Macaca mulatta: one gene and its partner. The protein of the gene in region 1 purifies or fractionates together with the protein of each later gene. This does not show direct contact. Links are inferred from orthologs where the notes say so. Each region holds a gene or a part of one and is shown on either strand. Other genes may lie near its edges.

The links.
Region 2: the proteins of USP4 (region 1) and EDC3 purify together in Homo sapiens (co-immunoprecipitation; 3 studies listed by BioGRID and IntAct, with this or other methods). This does not show direct contact. The link is inferred for Macaca mulatta from reciprocal best matches to the Homo sapiens genes USP4 and EDC3.

What each region holds. Positions count from the first base shown.
Region 1 is NC_133407.1:112,741,152-112,748,630, reverse strand, and holds part of USP4 (ubiquitin carboxyl-terminal hydrolase 4), read left to right. Parts: intron 1-195; coding exon 196-313; exon of another isoform or gene 314-845; intron 846-1,429; exon of another isoform or gene 1,430-1,607; intron 1,608-1,915; coding exon 1,916-2,089; exon of another isoform or gene 2,090-2,469; intron 2,470-2,652; exon of another isoform or gene 2,653-2,743; intron 2,744-5,676; coding exon 5,677-5,835; exon of another isoform or gene 5,836-6,012; intron 6,013-7,479.
Region 2 is NC_133412.1:52,625,645-52,633,223, reverse strand, and holds the start of EDC3 (enhancer of mRNA-decapping protein 3), read left to right. Parts: upstream 1-3,035; 5' UTR 3,036-3,204; exon of another isoform or gene 3,205-3,230; intron 3,231-6,398; exon of another isoform or gene 6,399-6,529; intron 6,530-7,579. UniProt on the Homo sapiens protein: Binds single-stranded RNA. Involved in the process of mRNA degradation and in the positive regulation of mRNA decapping. May play a role in spermiogenesis and oogenesis.

The DNA of each region.
Region 1 (7,479 bases):
GTGCTTACCAGCTGCTAGTGTGTCAAGTAAAGGGTGGGGCAGGTCTGGAGGGCAGGGGAGGGGGTAGAGGGAATTTGCATCATGGGCTTACTACCACACACAAGTTCTAGAGGCCCCCATAGGAGCCTCAAAAAACATCTGGAGGGCATGTGTTATACACTTGCTTTTATTGCTGATGTGTGTTGTGTTTTCCAGTGGATCTGGCTTTTCTGCTTCGTATAATTATCAGGAGCCACCATCCTCTCATATACAACCTGGGCTCTGTGGACTTGGAAACCTGGGAAACACCTGCTTCATGAACTCCGCTTTGCAGGTAGAGGAAAGAACTTCCATTCAAATAACACAGCATCTTGAGGTTTGGGTGGAAGTGGCCTGTAAAGATACTGGGTGGATCCTGTCCCAGGAGTCCCTGCCTACCCCTTGTTAGTGCTTCAGTAGTCTCTGCCAGGGCATCTCCCACTAGGTGGTACAGAATGGCTTCATCAGTGTTTGTGGACCCCAGATGTCTTTGTAGTCAGTTCTGTGTTTGGTTTTATAGTAAGATTATTTTGAATTTTATCGACTGTTTAGGTATGATCTCTCTAGAAAATATTGGAGTGTATCCCTGATTGGTCTCTGATGGGATGAGGAGAACTTATAGCAGGTGATGCCAAGCTCAATTATGCCTTGCTGAAGGCTGACTACCTTTTCACTAAAAATAGCTGTCCCAGCCAGGCGCAGTGGCTCACGCCTGTAATCCCAGCACTTTGGGAAGCCAAGGTGGGTGGATCACCTGAGGTCAGGAGTTCGAGACCAGCCTAGCCAACATGGCAAAACCCCATCTCTACTAAAAATACAAAAATTAGGCCAGGCGCGGTGGCTCAAGCCTGTAATCCCAGCACTTTGGGAGGCCGAGGCAGGTGGATCACGAGGTCAGGAGATCGAGACTATCCTGGCTAACCTGGATCGTGCCACTGCACTCCGGCCTGGGCAACAAGAGCGAAACTCTGTCTCAAACAAACAAAAAAAAAGTTATTTTCCTCTTGTGGTGACGTGGAAATAGCCTAGTACTAAAGAAGAGGTGTGATTTGGCTTTTCATGGACAAGTTTTTCCAAGTCTTTGTACCCTCAGTTTTCCTTAGCTATTGAGTGAGGATAATGATGAGGAGTTTTAAAGTTCTAAATGTAAATATTAGGGCAAAAAGGGTTAAAATTTCACGATTTAAGCTTCCATCTCATGATGCTAGGGGAAAGAACCCAAAGGAAGTAGAAGGAGACAAATAATAGCAGTAAAAACAGAAACTAATGAAAAAGGCTGGGCGCAGTGGCTCACGCCTGTAACCCCAGCACTTTGGGAGGCTGAGGCGAGTGGATCACCTGAGGTCAGGAGTTTGAGACCAGTCTGACCAACATGGTGAAACCCCATCTCTACTGAAAATACAAAAATTAGCTGGGTGTGGTGGCCAGCACCTGTGATACCAGCTACTCAGGAGGCTGAAGCAGGAGAATCACTTGAACTCAGGAGGTGGAGGATGCAGTAAGCCAAGATCACGCCATTGCACTCCAGCCCGGACGTCAAGAGCGAAACTCTGTCTCAAAAAAAAAGCCAAAAAAAATAAAAAAAAAACTTTTTCATTAAACAAGAATTATTTGTTTATTCAGCTTTTTTCCTAAGGTAGTTTTTTTCAGAGACAAAATCTTAGCCAATGCATCTGCAATCCTCTAAGACCACGTCCCTCAGAGATTAGCTGCGAGGGGTCCACCAGCTTGACCTCCTTGAGGCTGTGCTTTACTGTCCGTCATGAGCCTTCAGAGAATCTCCTGAGTGCCTCATTTTGTTGGGGTTGTCCCTCAGTGACCCTTTAGAACTTGATTTATCTTGTATCTCTGGTACTGTCTAGAAGGTATGTAAAGCCCTCATCATGTTCTGTTTCAGTGCTTGAGCAACACTGCACCACTGACTGACTACTTTCTCAAAGATGAGTATGAAGCCGAAATCAACAGAGACAACCCTCTGGGGATGAAAGGGGAAATTGCAGAAGCCTATGCAGAGCTCATTAAGCAGATGTGGTCTGGAAGGGATGCCCATGTGGCACCTCGCATGTTCAAAGTAGGTAGACATATATATATATACAGGTTGAGTATCTCTGTATATAGATGCTTGGGACCAGAAATGTTTTGGGACTTCAGGTTTTTTAGGGTTTTTTTTTTTTTACAGTATTTCCATTACGCTTACTAGTTCAGCATCCCCATTCCAAAATCTAAAATGTTTCAATGAGCATTTCCTTTGAATATCGTGTCAGTGTTAGAAAGGTTATGGATCTTTGAGCATTTGGATTTCAGATTTTCGGGTAAAGGATACACTCCTGTACTTCCTTTTTCCCACTTTGGGGAGAGTGGTTTAGTGTTGTTATGAGGCATTCCTTTTGTTGCATTTTGGGATTAAGATGGGATCTGGGCCAGGCGCTGTGGCTCACGCCTATAATCCCAGCACTTTGGGAGGCCGAGGCAGGTGGATCACTAGGTCAAGAGATTGAGACCATCCTGGCCAACATGGTGAAGCCCCGTCTCTACTAAAAATACAAAAAGTAGCTAGGCGTGGTGGCGCATGCCTGTAGTCCCAGCTACTTGGGAGACTGAGGCAGGAGAATCACTTGAACCTGGGAGGTGGAGGTTGCAGTGAGCTGAGATTGCGCCACTGCAGTCCAACCTGGTGGCAGAGTAAGACTCCGTCTCCAAAAAAAAAAAAAAAAAAAAAAAAAGATGGGATCTGATGACCAGTCACGATGGCTCACGCCTGTAATCTCAGCACTTTGGGGGGCCAAGGTGGGTGGATCACCTGAGGTCAGGAGTTCAAGACCAGCCTGGCTAACATGGTGAAACCCCTTCTCTACTAAAAATACAAAAATTAGCTGGGCATGGTGGTGCACACTTGTAATCCCAGCTACGTGGGAGGCTGAGGCAGGAGAATTGCTTGAACCTGGGAGATGCAGATTGCAGTGAGCCAAGATCACACCACTGCACTCCAGCCTAGGCAACAGAGCAAGACTCCATCTCAAAAAAAAAAAAAAAAAAAAAAAAAAGATGGAATCTGAGACTAAAAGTACCACATTGTCAAACCCTTTTTTTCCTGTCATTCAGTCATTTAGCACACCCCTAAGTGTCTTCACTGCCCACCTCTGGGTTGGGGATGTCTCAGAAGTTATTTGTAAGCTGATTCCTCAGAATGCTGTATTCTGTGATGGCAGTATTTAAATGGTCAGTTTCCTAAGCCAGACTATAAAAATTCAGTTTCTTGGAAGGCTGAGGTGGGAGGATCCCTGGAGCCCAGGAGTTTGAGACCCGCCTGGGCAACATAGTGAGACTCCGTTTTTGTTTTGTTTTGTTTGAGACAGAGTCTGACTCTCTTCTTGCCCAGGTTGGAGTGCAGTGGCACGATCTTGGCTCACTGCAGCCTACACCTCCCGGGTTCAAGCGATTCTCATGCCTTAGCCTCCTGAGTAGCTGAGACTACAGGTGTGCACCACCATGCCTGGCTAATTTTAGTATTTTTAGTAGAGATGGGGTTTCGCCATGTTGACCAGGCTGGTCTCAAACTCCTGATCTCAGGGGATCTGCCTGCCCCAGCCTCTCAAAGTGCTGGGATTATAGGCATGAGCCACTGCGCCTGATCAAGTCTCTGTTTCTTTAAAAACAACAAAAAAGTTGGCCAGGCGCAGTGGCTCACGCCTGTAATCCCAGCACTTTGGGAGGCCGAGGCGGGCAGATCACGAAGTCAGGAGATCGAGACCATCCTGGCTAATATGGTGAAACCCTGTCTCTGCTAAAAATACAAAAAAAAAAAAAAAAAAATTAGCCAGGTGTGATGGCAGGCGCCTGTAGTCCCAGCTGCTCGGGAGGCTGAGGCAGGAGAATAGCATGAACCCGGGAGGCAGAGCTTGCAGTGAGCCGAGATCGTGCCTCTGCACTCCAGCCTGGGTGACAGAACGAGACTCCATCTCAAAGAAAAAACAACAACAACAAAAAAAGTCCGGGCATGGTGGCTCGTTCCTGTAATCCAGCACTTTGGGAGGCTGAGGTGGGCAGATCACGAGGTCAGGAGTTTGAGATCAGCCTGACCAACATAATGAAACCTCGTCTCTACTGAAAATACAAAAATTAGCCAGGTGTGATGGTGCCCACCTGTAATTCCAGCTACTCAGGAGGCTGAGGCAGGAGAATTGCTTGAACCTGGGAGGTGGAGGTTGCAGTGAGCTGAGATCGCACCACTGCACTCCAGCCTGAGCAACAGAGCGAGACTCTGTCTCTAAAACAACAACAAAATTAGCTGGACATGGTGATGTACCTATAGTCCCAGCTACCAGGGAGGCTGAGGTGGGAGGAATTACTTAAGCCTGACAGGTCAAGGCTGCAGTGAGCTGTGATTGTGCCACTGTACTCCAGCCTTGGCGACACAGACCCTGTCCCAGAATAAAAAAATAAAAAAGAATTGGGTGGCAACACACTGTGCTGAAGCTAATGTAAATAAACAACTAGAAGGTAGTGTTTAGGGATATTAGGGAAGTGTGGAGCTTCCTCAGTGATGGATGTGTTATATATTTGTACTGTGTTATGGCAGCCACCAGCTCAAGCACCTCTGAGCACTTGAGATGTGGTTCATTTGACCAAGGAACTGAATTTTTAATGGTTTTTAATTGTAATTAATATAAATTTAGGTTGCCATATGTGGCTAGTGGCTATGGTATTAGAGAACAGGTGTAGAACAGTGGTGCTCCATTTTTTTTTTTTTTTTTTTTTTGAGACAGAGTCTTGCTCTGTCGCACAGGCTGGAGTGCACTGGCACGATTTTGGCTCACTGCAGCCTCCGCCTCCTGGGTTCAAGCAATTCTCCTGCCTCAGCCTCCCGTGTAGCTGGGATTACAGGTGTGCACCACCATGCCCAGCTAATTTTTGTATTTTTAGTAGAGACCAGGTTTCACCATGTTGGCCAGGCTGGTCTTGAACTCCCAACCTCAGGTGATCTGCCTGCCTCAGCCTCCCAAAATTCTGCGATTACAGGCGTGAGCCACCGTGCCTGGCTGGTTCTCCATAGGATACATCACAGTCTCTGGGAGTGCTTAATACAACATAGACTGCTAGACCCATCCGCAGAGTTTCTGATTGAATGGGTTTGCTGTGGGGGCCTGAGAATGTGCATTTCTACTAAGCTCCCAGGTGATACTAATGCTGCTGGCTAGGGACCATACTCTCAGAATAACTGGTGGAGAATAATACTGGACAGACAGTATTTAGGGACCTGAGGGCTGTTATGTACAGGAGGATTCCTCCAGCTGATGAAAGTATCGTTTGTAATGTCCTTATGGAGTTTAAGACTCTGAACCAAAGAAGGACATGTTGGAGAGGGATTCATGTCAGTACTTGGGTGTGGTTACTCAGGATACCCCACCCTTCCTCCCTAGGACTTAAGGTAGTGGCCCAGGTTCCAGATTCATCCTCCTGGCTCTCTGATCTAGGCCTTCTCTCTGGTGGGAACCACTGGCCTCCTGTAGGCTCTTCAGGAGTTAATTGGACTACTCAACCAAGTGTTCTCTCTCACTACCCAGCTAACTCCTCAAAGCTATTTTTGATGATAGTTCTCATTTGATTTAACTAGTTCTTTACATATTATGCCTTCTGATGCAGTTGCTTTTGTTGTAGACTCAAGTGGGACGTTTTGCTCCTCAATTTTCTGGCTACCAGCAACAAGATTCTCAGGAGCTGTTAGCCTTTCTTCTAGATGGATTGCATGAAGATCTGAACCGAGTAAAGAAGAAGCCCTACTTGGAGCTGAAGGATGCCAATGGGCGGCCAGACGCGGTATGCCATTAATGATGTCTGAACGAAGAAGCTGCCTCATATTGAGAGTGCAGGGATATTCTTCTGGTCTTTTGAGTGTTGCTGCCAGGGCCCTGGTTGCTTCTCACTGTAGCTAGTTATAGGTATATGGTCTCTGGTCAGAAAAGGGCTAACTGTAGTTACTGCTATTTTTTTTTTGTAATAGAGACAAAATCTTGCTATGTTGTCTAGGCTGGTCTCCAGCTCCTGAGCTTAAGCAGTCCTCTTACCTTAGCCTCCCAAAGTGCTGAGATTACAACAGGCGTGAGCCACTGTCCCCTAGTTACTCCTAATGCTTCCTCTTGGGCTTTTTCAAATTTGAGTGAGCTTGTTTGATATTTCACTGGTGAACTAGGGACTAAGAACACTCTGAAAACTGTAAAGTGCCTGTAGTGAGGACCCCTAAGATTGTTATCGCTCACAATAAAAGCTATCTATGATTACTTAATTTGTTATTAATATCATTAGGACATTTATACTTTTTACCTTGATTTTCTGATCAGTGCAAGAGGATTTTAGTATTTCAGCTGCCCTGTCACATTGGGATAATCAATATGAATGCTTTAAAGTAAAATTTAGATCTTCTTAGAAAAACTGTGAGTTAGCTGAACTGTAGTATAGATAAAATTATTAAAATTTATTTGTTTATTTTTTTGAGATGGAGTCTCACTCTGTCACCCAGGCTGGAGTGCAATGATGCGATCTCGCTCACTGCATCCTCCACCTCCCGGGTTCAAGCGATTCTCCTGTCTCAGCCTCTTGAGTAGCTGGGACTATAGCCATGTACCACCACACCCGGCAAATTTTTGTATTTTTAGTAGAGAGGGGATTTCACCATGTTGGCCAGGCTAATCTTGAACTCCTGACCTAAGGTGATCCATCTGCCTCGGCCTCTCAAAGTGCTGGGATTTCAGGCATGAGCCACTGTGCCCGGCCAAAAACTACTTTAGATCACTGGAAACATATAGGGGGACTTTCCTTGTCCTGGCCATGTATCTGTACCCATAGTGTCCTCCGGGTTCTGTTTCCTATCAGGACACACAAACCCCTAGTTTCCAATAGGTCCTATGATGCCAACCTTATTAAGTGTGGGGATTACAACGAGGCACAGTGGCTTACCCCTGCGGTTCCAGCACTTTGGAGGCTGAGGTGGGAGCATCACTTGAGGCCAGGAGCTCTAGAACCATCTGGTCAACATAGTAAAACCCCCATCCCTACCAAAACTAAAAAAACATTAGCCAGGCATGGTGGGGCGTGCCTATAGTCCTAGCTACTTGGGAGTCTGAGGCAGGAAGATCGCTTTGAGCCCAGGAGTTCGAGGCTGTAGTGAACCATGGTCGTGCCAGCCTGAGCGACAGAGCAAGACCATGTCTCAATCAATCAATATAATATATATTTGAAATATATATATAAACATATATATGAAATATATATATGTGTGTTGGGGTGGGGATTGGGTGTAGAGCTGGCATGTGGTATGAGTATGATACACTAAGAGTAGTCCTGGCCTTGCTTGTCCTGGATCAAGCTCTTGGCTGTACAGATTGCCGCCTGATTCATCTCCAGGTTTGCTGTGAGTCATTCTGGATGCAGGGGCAAGGGACTGAGTGGTGTTGAGAATGTCCT
Region 2 (7,579 bases), on another chromosome or scaffold:
TGAGGCAGGAGAATTGCTTGAACCCAGGAGGCAGAGGTTGCGGTGAGCCAAGATCGTGCCATTGCACTCCAGCCTGGGGAACAAGAGTGAAACTCTGTCTCAAAAAAAAAAAAAAAAAAAAAAAAAAGGTTATCAGGGTATAAATCTACACAGCAAAACATATACAAGAGCTATATGAGTAATACTACAAAACTCTGATCAAAGATATCAAAGAATTATATAAATTGAGAAATATTTCATGTTCACAGATAGGAAGACAATACAGTTAAAATGTCTGTTCTTCCAAACCTGATCTATAGATTCAACGCAATCCCAATCCAAGTATCAGCATGTTATTTTTGTGGATGTCGACAAACTGATTGTAGAATTGATATGGAGAGACAAAAGACCCAGAAGAGCCAACTCACTATTAAAGGAGAACAAAGTTGGAGGACTGATACTAGCCAAATTCAAGACTTACTATAAACTACAGTAATAACGACAACGTGATACTGGTGAAAGAATAAACAATCCAGAAGTAGACTCATAAATATAGCCAACTGATCTTTGACAGAGGAGTTAAAGCAATATAATGGAGCAAAGATAGGTTTTTCAACAAATTATGCTGAATAACTGAACTTTCACACACATAAAAATGTATCAGGTTGGGCGTGGTAGCTCATGCCTGTAATCCCAGCACTTTGGAAGGCCGAGGCGGGTGGATCACTTGAGGTCAGGAGTTTGAGACCAGCCTGGCCAACACAGTGAAACCCTGTCTCTACTAAAAATACAAAAATTAGCCAGGCATGGTGGTGGGTGCCTGTAATCTCAGCTTCTCGGGAGGCTGAGATAGGAGAACTGCTTCAACCCAGGAGACGGACGTTGCAGTGAGCTGGGATTGTGCCACTGTACTCCAGTCTCTGCGACAGAGTGAGACTCTCAAAAAAAAAAAAGACATTGCACCTTCTACATGGATTGTAGACCTAAATTGAAAATGAACACTATAAAACTCCTGGAAGACAACATAGGAGAAAACTTAACTGATCTTGGGAATGGCAATGACTTTTTAGGGCAATATCAATAGCATAATCTGTGAAAAATATAATTCATAAGCTGGACTTCATTAAAATGTAAAACTTCTGCTCTTCAAAAGAATGAGAAGACAAGCCACAGACTAGGAGAAAATATTATCAAAGACATATCTGATAAAGGACTGTTATCTACAATATACCTAGAACTCTTAAATCGCAACAGGAAAATAACACAATGTAAAAATGGGCAAAATACCTGAACAAACACTTCATCAAAGAAGATATACACATGGCAAGTAAGTATATGAAAAGATGTTCAATAGCATATGTCATTAGGGCATTGCATGTAAAACAATAAGATACTACTACACACTTATTTGAACGGCCAAAATCCAAAATACTGACACCACAAAATGCTGACAAGGATGTGGAGCACAGAAACCATCATTCACTGCCGGTGGGAATGCAAAAAATGATGCAGCCACTTTGAAAAACGGTTTGGTAGTTTCTCACAAAACTAAATATACCATCCAATCCAGCAGTTGCACTCCTTGGGATTTACTCAGATGAATTGAAAACTCATGTCTACACAAAAATCTGCACATGATGTAAAGGGGCTTTATTCATAATTGCCCAAACTTGGACGCCACCAAGATGTCTTTCAGCAGGTGAATGGATAAGTCGCAGCACATCCAGACGATGGAATATTATTATTCAGCACAAAAAAGAAATGAGCTATCAAGCCATGAAGAGACATGGAAGAACTTTAAAAGCATATTACTAAGTGAAAGAAGCCGATGTGAAAAGGCTGCATACTGTATGATTCCAACTATATGCGATTCTGGAAAAGGCAAAACTATGGAGACAGTAAAAGGAGCAGTGGTTGCCAGTGGTCAGGGGACTGAGAAGGATGAATAGGCAGAGGACAGAGGATTTTCAGGGCAGTGAAACTATCGTGGATGATACCATAATGGTGGATACATGTCATTATATATTTGTCAAAACCCACAGAATGTGCAACACCGAGAGAAAATGCTATTGTAAACTATGGACTCTGGGTGATAATGATGTGTCAAAGTAGGGTCATCAATTGTTACCAAATGTACCACTGTAGCACAAGATGTCCATAAGGGGACAAGTTGTGTGTGTGTGTGCCTATGTGTACAGGGGATATATGGGAACTCTCTACTTTCTGTTCAATTTTGCCCTGAACCAAAAACTGCTCTAGAAGTGTTGGTTAATAACAGTAAAAGACAAAGACCCCTTCTGACCTAGGGAATCTCTGGTGATGGATGGGGAGGGCGAAGTAGTCCCCTAGAAAGTGGAAATTTTACAAAGTTCTTCAACTGATTTTGTAGAGCTAGGTTTGGAACTGCTACCCTACTCTATGCTACTCGCCCAAGTAGTGGTTCCCAAACCAGGTGTCAGGCTTCAAGGCCATGCAATATTCCTCATTACACTGTCTTGGCCCCAAACACATGCTTTCCCCTCTCCCTACAAATCAAGACTCTAAAATGCCAAGGGTAGAAGAGCAGTACTTTCCCGTGTACTGAATATGGGGGAAGGGAGAGCAGTCAAGCATGGACTGGCTATTCTAAGCCCCAAATGGGCTGAAGCTGATAACGCTTTGAAGATCGACCACGGCAGAAATATCTTGTTTTCTTTAATCCATCAGGGGGTTGTCCCACTTATTGAGTCCCACAGCTGCGGTATAGCACGGAGGGGGCCTCCCTGAAAGTCCTCCGCTCCAGCTCTCCGATTGGCGCTGGGGGAACAGGAGGGGAAGCGGAGGCTTTGCATCGAGCCTGCAACACGGGGCCCGGGCATCGAGGCCGAGGAGTCGTGGGTAGAGCCCCGATTTCAGCCAAGATGGCATAGGACGTAAGTAAGCGTGGAAAGCAAAATGGCTACGCAAGCGCAATTCTGTAAGGCCGAAGGGACGTTCTTCCAACCTCTTAAATTTCCCGGGCGCCACGCCCCTCAGTTGCTTGCCCTGGATTCCAAGGTGTCGCGCGGGAAGTGACCTCACGGCGGTGGCGTGGAGACGTGGGGGCGCTTCCGGCGGCGGCGGCGGCGGCGGTGACGGCCGAAGCTGTAGGGGTGGGCGTGGAGAGAGTTCTTCTGTGGGTCCTCTGGTATTGCGTGGTCGGCTTGGTGTGGTGTGCGGAGGAGCTCCAGGCCCGTCGGGGCGGAGGTGGGAGCGAAGGGAAGAGGCTGCTGGTGTGTGGACGCTCGTGGGAGGGGGATGCCGGGCTTGCTTTAGGCTTCGGAGTTCCAGGCCTCATAGACCTTTATAGAGGAAGGCAGGCAAGAGCTGGGGGCTTCATCGGGTTCGCAGGGGGCCAGGTACTATGGGCGGCCGCAGGAGTTTGGTTTGAGGTGGGAGGCTGAGGACTGCAGGATTCTAAATAGTACGGGGATTGTGTGAGGCGTGAGGCATTAGCTGCTTGGGCCCTTAGTCCAGCCTTGTTGGTGGCTGCTGTAGTTCATTGGCTCACTGATTTCTTCATGCCTCAGTTTCCCTTTGCATAATGAGATATGGTGGCAGAGAAGAACGCCAGTGCCACATCCATGACTAATAGCTTGAGGACAGAGGTGAACTGGAGGGTAGAAAAAGAGGATGCCTGAGAAATTTATACTTACCAGGTCACATCTTCTGAATCCCAGGAAGTTATCCCTGGATTCATTTCTGCCTTTGGTGCAAGTCTGTGGTTCTTATCAGTACTCTTTGTGTGATATTGATTGTATTTATCAATACTTGACTTGTTGAGTGGCTAAAGTGTTTTGGTTTGTGGGAGGCATAGCCCTTGTTGGCTTGGTCAATTGATTTTCAATTAATCTCCCAGTAGCAATTGCTTCGCCTAACTCTGCAATTGGGATATTAGTTGAAAATCAACTGACCAAGCCAACAATCTTCTCCTCTGGTTACAGATAAGGAACTCACGACCCAGAATGGTTTTTCTTTTCTTCCCTAGCCACAGACCAAACCGATTTCAGTCTGCTGTCTCAAATACAGGTCTTCACCCCACCAAAACAGAAATGGCTGTCTCCAAGCAGTTTAGTATTTCAGCTGGACACCCAGATGGATCCTAATCTTTTTTTTTTTTTTTTTTAATGAATGGCAGATTAGGTGTACTGAGCACAAAATTCTCTTAGCTGGTTTCTCTGTATGATGTAAAAATGGTTGTAAAAACATGACTTTTTGTTTATTACCAAATTCTTGGTAGAGCTTCCTTGGCATAGGGTTATGGGGCTAGAAAAGTGTCTCAAAATTTTTGACCTGTGACCTGCAGTTAGATATATTTTACATCACGACATTACTCATTGTGCCCCTGCACACTCAGTGTCTACACACACACACAGCCCCACCCACCGATGAAAAGTTTACTTACCCTTTCTACAGAAGATGCATTCTAAAAAAAAATTGGTTGCAACGCACTAAATTGTGTCTGAGCCCTAATAGGTCGTGAGGTATAGTTTGAAAAATATTAAGGGCGGGCACTGTGGCTCACGCCCGTAATCCCAGCACTTTGGGAGACTGAGGCGGGTGGATCACCTGAGGTCAGGAGTTGGAGACCAGTCTGGCCAACATGGTGAAACCCTGTCTCTACTAAAAATATAAAACTTAGCTGAGTGTGATGGTGGGTACCTGTAATCCCAGCTACTTGGGAGGCTGAGGCAGGAGAAACTCTTGAATCCAGGAGGCAGTGAGCCAAGATAGTGCTATTGCACTCCAGCCTGGGCAACAAGAGCCAAACTCTGTCTCAAAAAAAAAAAAGAGAAGAAAAATATTAGACTAGGGCCGAGTGCAGTGGTGAGAGGATTGCTTAAGGCCAGCCTGGGCAACATAGCAAGACTCTGTCTCTAAGAAAAACAACATTAGAAAATGCTTAAAATCTTTGCCATTTGTGAGATTCTGTAATTAATACATTATCATTTTTCTTTCTTTTTTTTTTTTTTTTTTTTTTGAGACGGAGTCTCGCTCTGTCGCCCAGGCTGGGGTGCAGTGGCCGGCTCTCAGCTCACTGCAAGCTCGGCCTCCCGGGTTTACGCCATTCTCTTGCCTCAGCCTCCCAAGTAGCTGGGACTGCAGGCGCCTGCCACCTCGCCCGGCTAGTTTTTTTGTATTTTTTAGTAGAGACGGAGTTTCACCCTGTTAGCCAGGATGGTCTTGATCTCCTGACCTCGTGATCCGCCCGTCTTGGCCTCCCAAAGTGCTGAGATTACAGGCTTGAGCCACCGCGCCCAGCCTCATTTTTCTTTTCTTATTCAGAGAAGGGCTTACTAGATTTCTCCTAAATTCAGCCAGAACAGCAGGACAGGACATCCAAATTGTGTCTCAAAGGAGTATAGTGACCATAATGATAGTGTGTCAGAATTTTAGCAAGGCATTTATGAAGTCTTTTTTTTTTTTTTTTTTGAGATGGAGTCTCATTCCATTGCCCAGGTTGGACAGAGTACAGTGGCACAATCTCTGCTTACTGTAACTTCCGCCTTCTAGGTTCAAGCGATTCTCCTGCCTCAGTCTTCCAAGTACCTGGGATTACAGGCATGCGTCACCACGCCTGGCTAATTTTTGTATTTTTAGTAGAGATGGGGTTTCACCATGTTGGCCAGGCTGGTCTCGAACTCCTGACCTCAGGTGATCCACCCATCTCAGCCTCCCAAAGTGCTGGGATTACAGGTGTGAGCCACTGCGCCTGGTCTTACTAAGTCTTATGATAACCGAGTGGGTGAGATGGAGGAATTTGCCAGATTGTGGTAGAATTAGATGGAGTCATGAGTTTGAGCATCTGTGTATGGAGATTTGATTTGTGAGCACTACTTGCAGCTGGAATTCTGGTGATCTGAACTGGGGTTTCATCACTTTATACAATTCATGTATTTGAAACCTTATCTAGAAGGTTTGCTTATTGGATTTGGTGCCTTTATGAAGTAAAGAAAGAGTCATTTGGTTGATGATTGCCAGAATGGGAAGAGATCTCAATATATTTACTCAGTGCTGTTTAATGAAATGGAAGAAGCTTGTATAAATGTTGAGAAATTGTGCTTGGGTCCAAAAAAAAAATCAACTATACCTATTGGGGGAGGGTGGAGATGTAACCTCACAGGAATTCCTGTAATAAAAAGATTTGGTGTTTTAATCACCAGTCAGTGGTGTGGTTAAGAAGGCTGTGAGAAGAACTGATGTGACCTGCATTAGTATATTGTGTTAGGAAAATACAAAACGTAGAATGAGAAAGGTTGCATCATTGGTAGGCTTGTACCTGGAATATTAGGTTTGGATCTAGATGTGCTAAGAGTAAATTTATGGGCAGAAGTCAAAAGTCTGAAGATATGGTGGTGTTGCTTTAGCATGAGTGATTGTTTTTCTCCTTGTCATTTCAGACTTTCAGGTATAGGCCGGGTTATTGGTCTTAAAACTTCTTCTTGAGAATGTCTGAAAGACTGGGGAATCTGTTAGATCTTATATACTTCTAAGTTGGCACCTGAAACTTTTCATCGTAGATTTAAATAGTGTAAGTATTTAATTTTAAATAGTTTAGGATGTAATTTCTGACAAGTAAATATTGACTTCTTAAAAATAAATATAAAATTACCTAAATACAGTATCAATTTGATGTTTTAAAAACATACAACTAAACTTTTGAAACAGACTAAGAAATATATAACATGGCTTGTTACATTACTTGATTTTCAGACTTTAAGCCCATCTTGCATTTGTGAAATGAACCCTACTTAGTCATGTATCTACTACTTTTTACATGTAAATGGATTCAATTTGCTAACATTTTGTTAAGAATTTTTGTGACTATGTTCATGATAGATTTTGGTCTGAGGTTTCCTTTTTTTTATGTCATCTTTGGCCTTAGTAGCAGAGTAATTATGACCTCATAAAATGAATTGAGAAGTGTTCCTTCCTCCTCTGTTTTCTGAAAGAGTTTGTGTAGGATTGGTATTATTTCTTACATGTTTTATAGAATTTACCAGTGAAGTCCTATGGCCCTGGGTTTTTCTCTCTAGGAAGATTTTACTAATTCAATTTCATAATACAGTTAGTTGAGTTAGTTTTGGTCATTTTTATCATTTTGGGAGTTTGTCCATTACATATTTTTCCTTTTTCTTTTTGAACTTGTATCCATTCCACTTTTCCCACAGAATTTTATCCTAAAGCAAAAGTCAACTTGCTGCGAAAGACCAGATGAAAGACTTTATGAGCCAAGTGGTTTCTGTGATTACTGCTCAACTATCACTGTAGTGAGAAAACAGCCATAGACAATATGTGGCCGGGCGCAGTGGCTCACGCCTGTAATCCCAGCGCTTTGGGAGGCCAAGGCAGGTGGATCTCGGGGTCAGGAGATCGAGACCATCCTGGCTAACACGGTGAAACCCCGTCTCTACTAAAAAATACAAAAAAAATTAGCCAGGCGTGGTGGCAGGCGCCTGTAGTCCCAGCTACTCGGGAGGCTGAGGCAGGAGAATAGCGTGCACCCGGGAGGCGGAGCTTGCAGTGAGCTGAGATCACACCACTGCACTCCAGTCTGGTTGACAGAGGGAGACTTCATCTC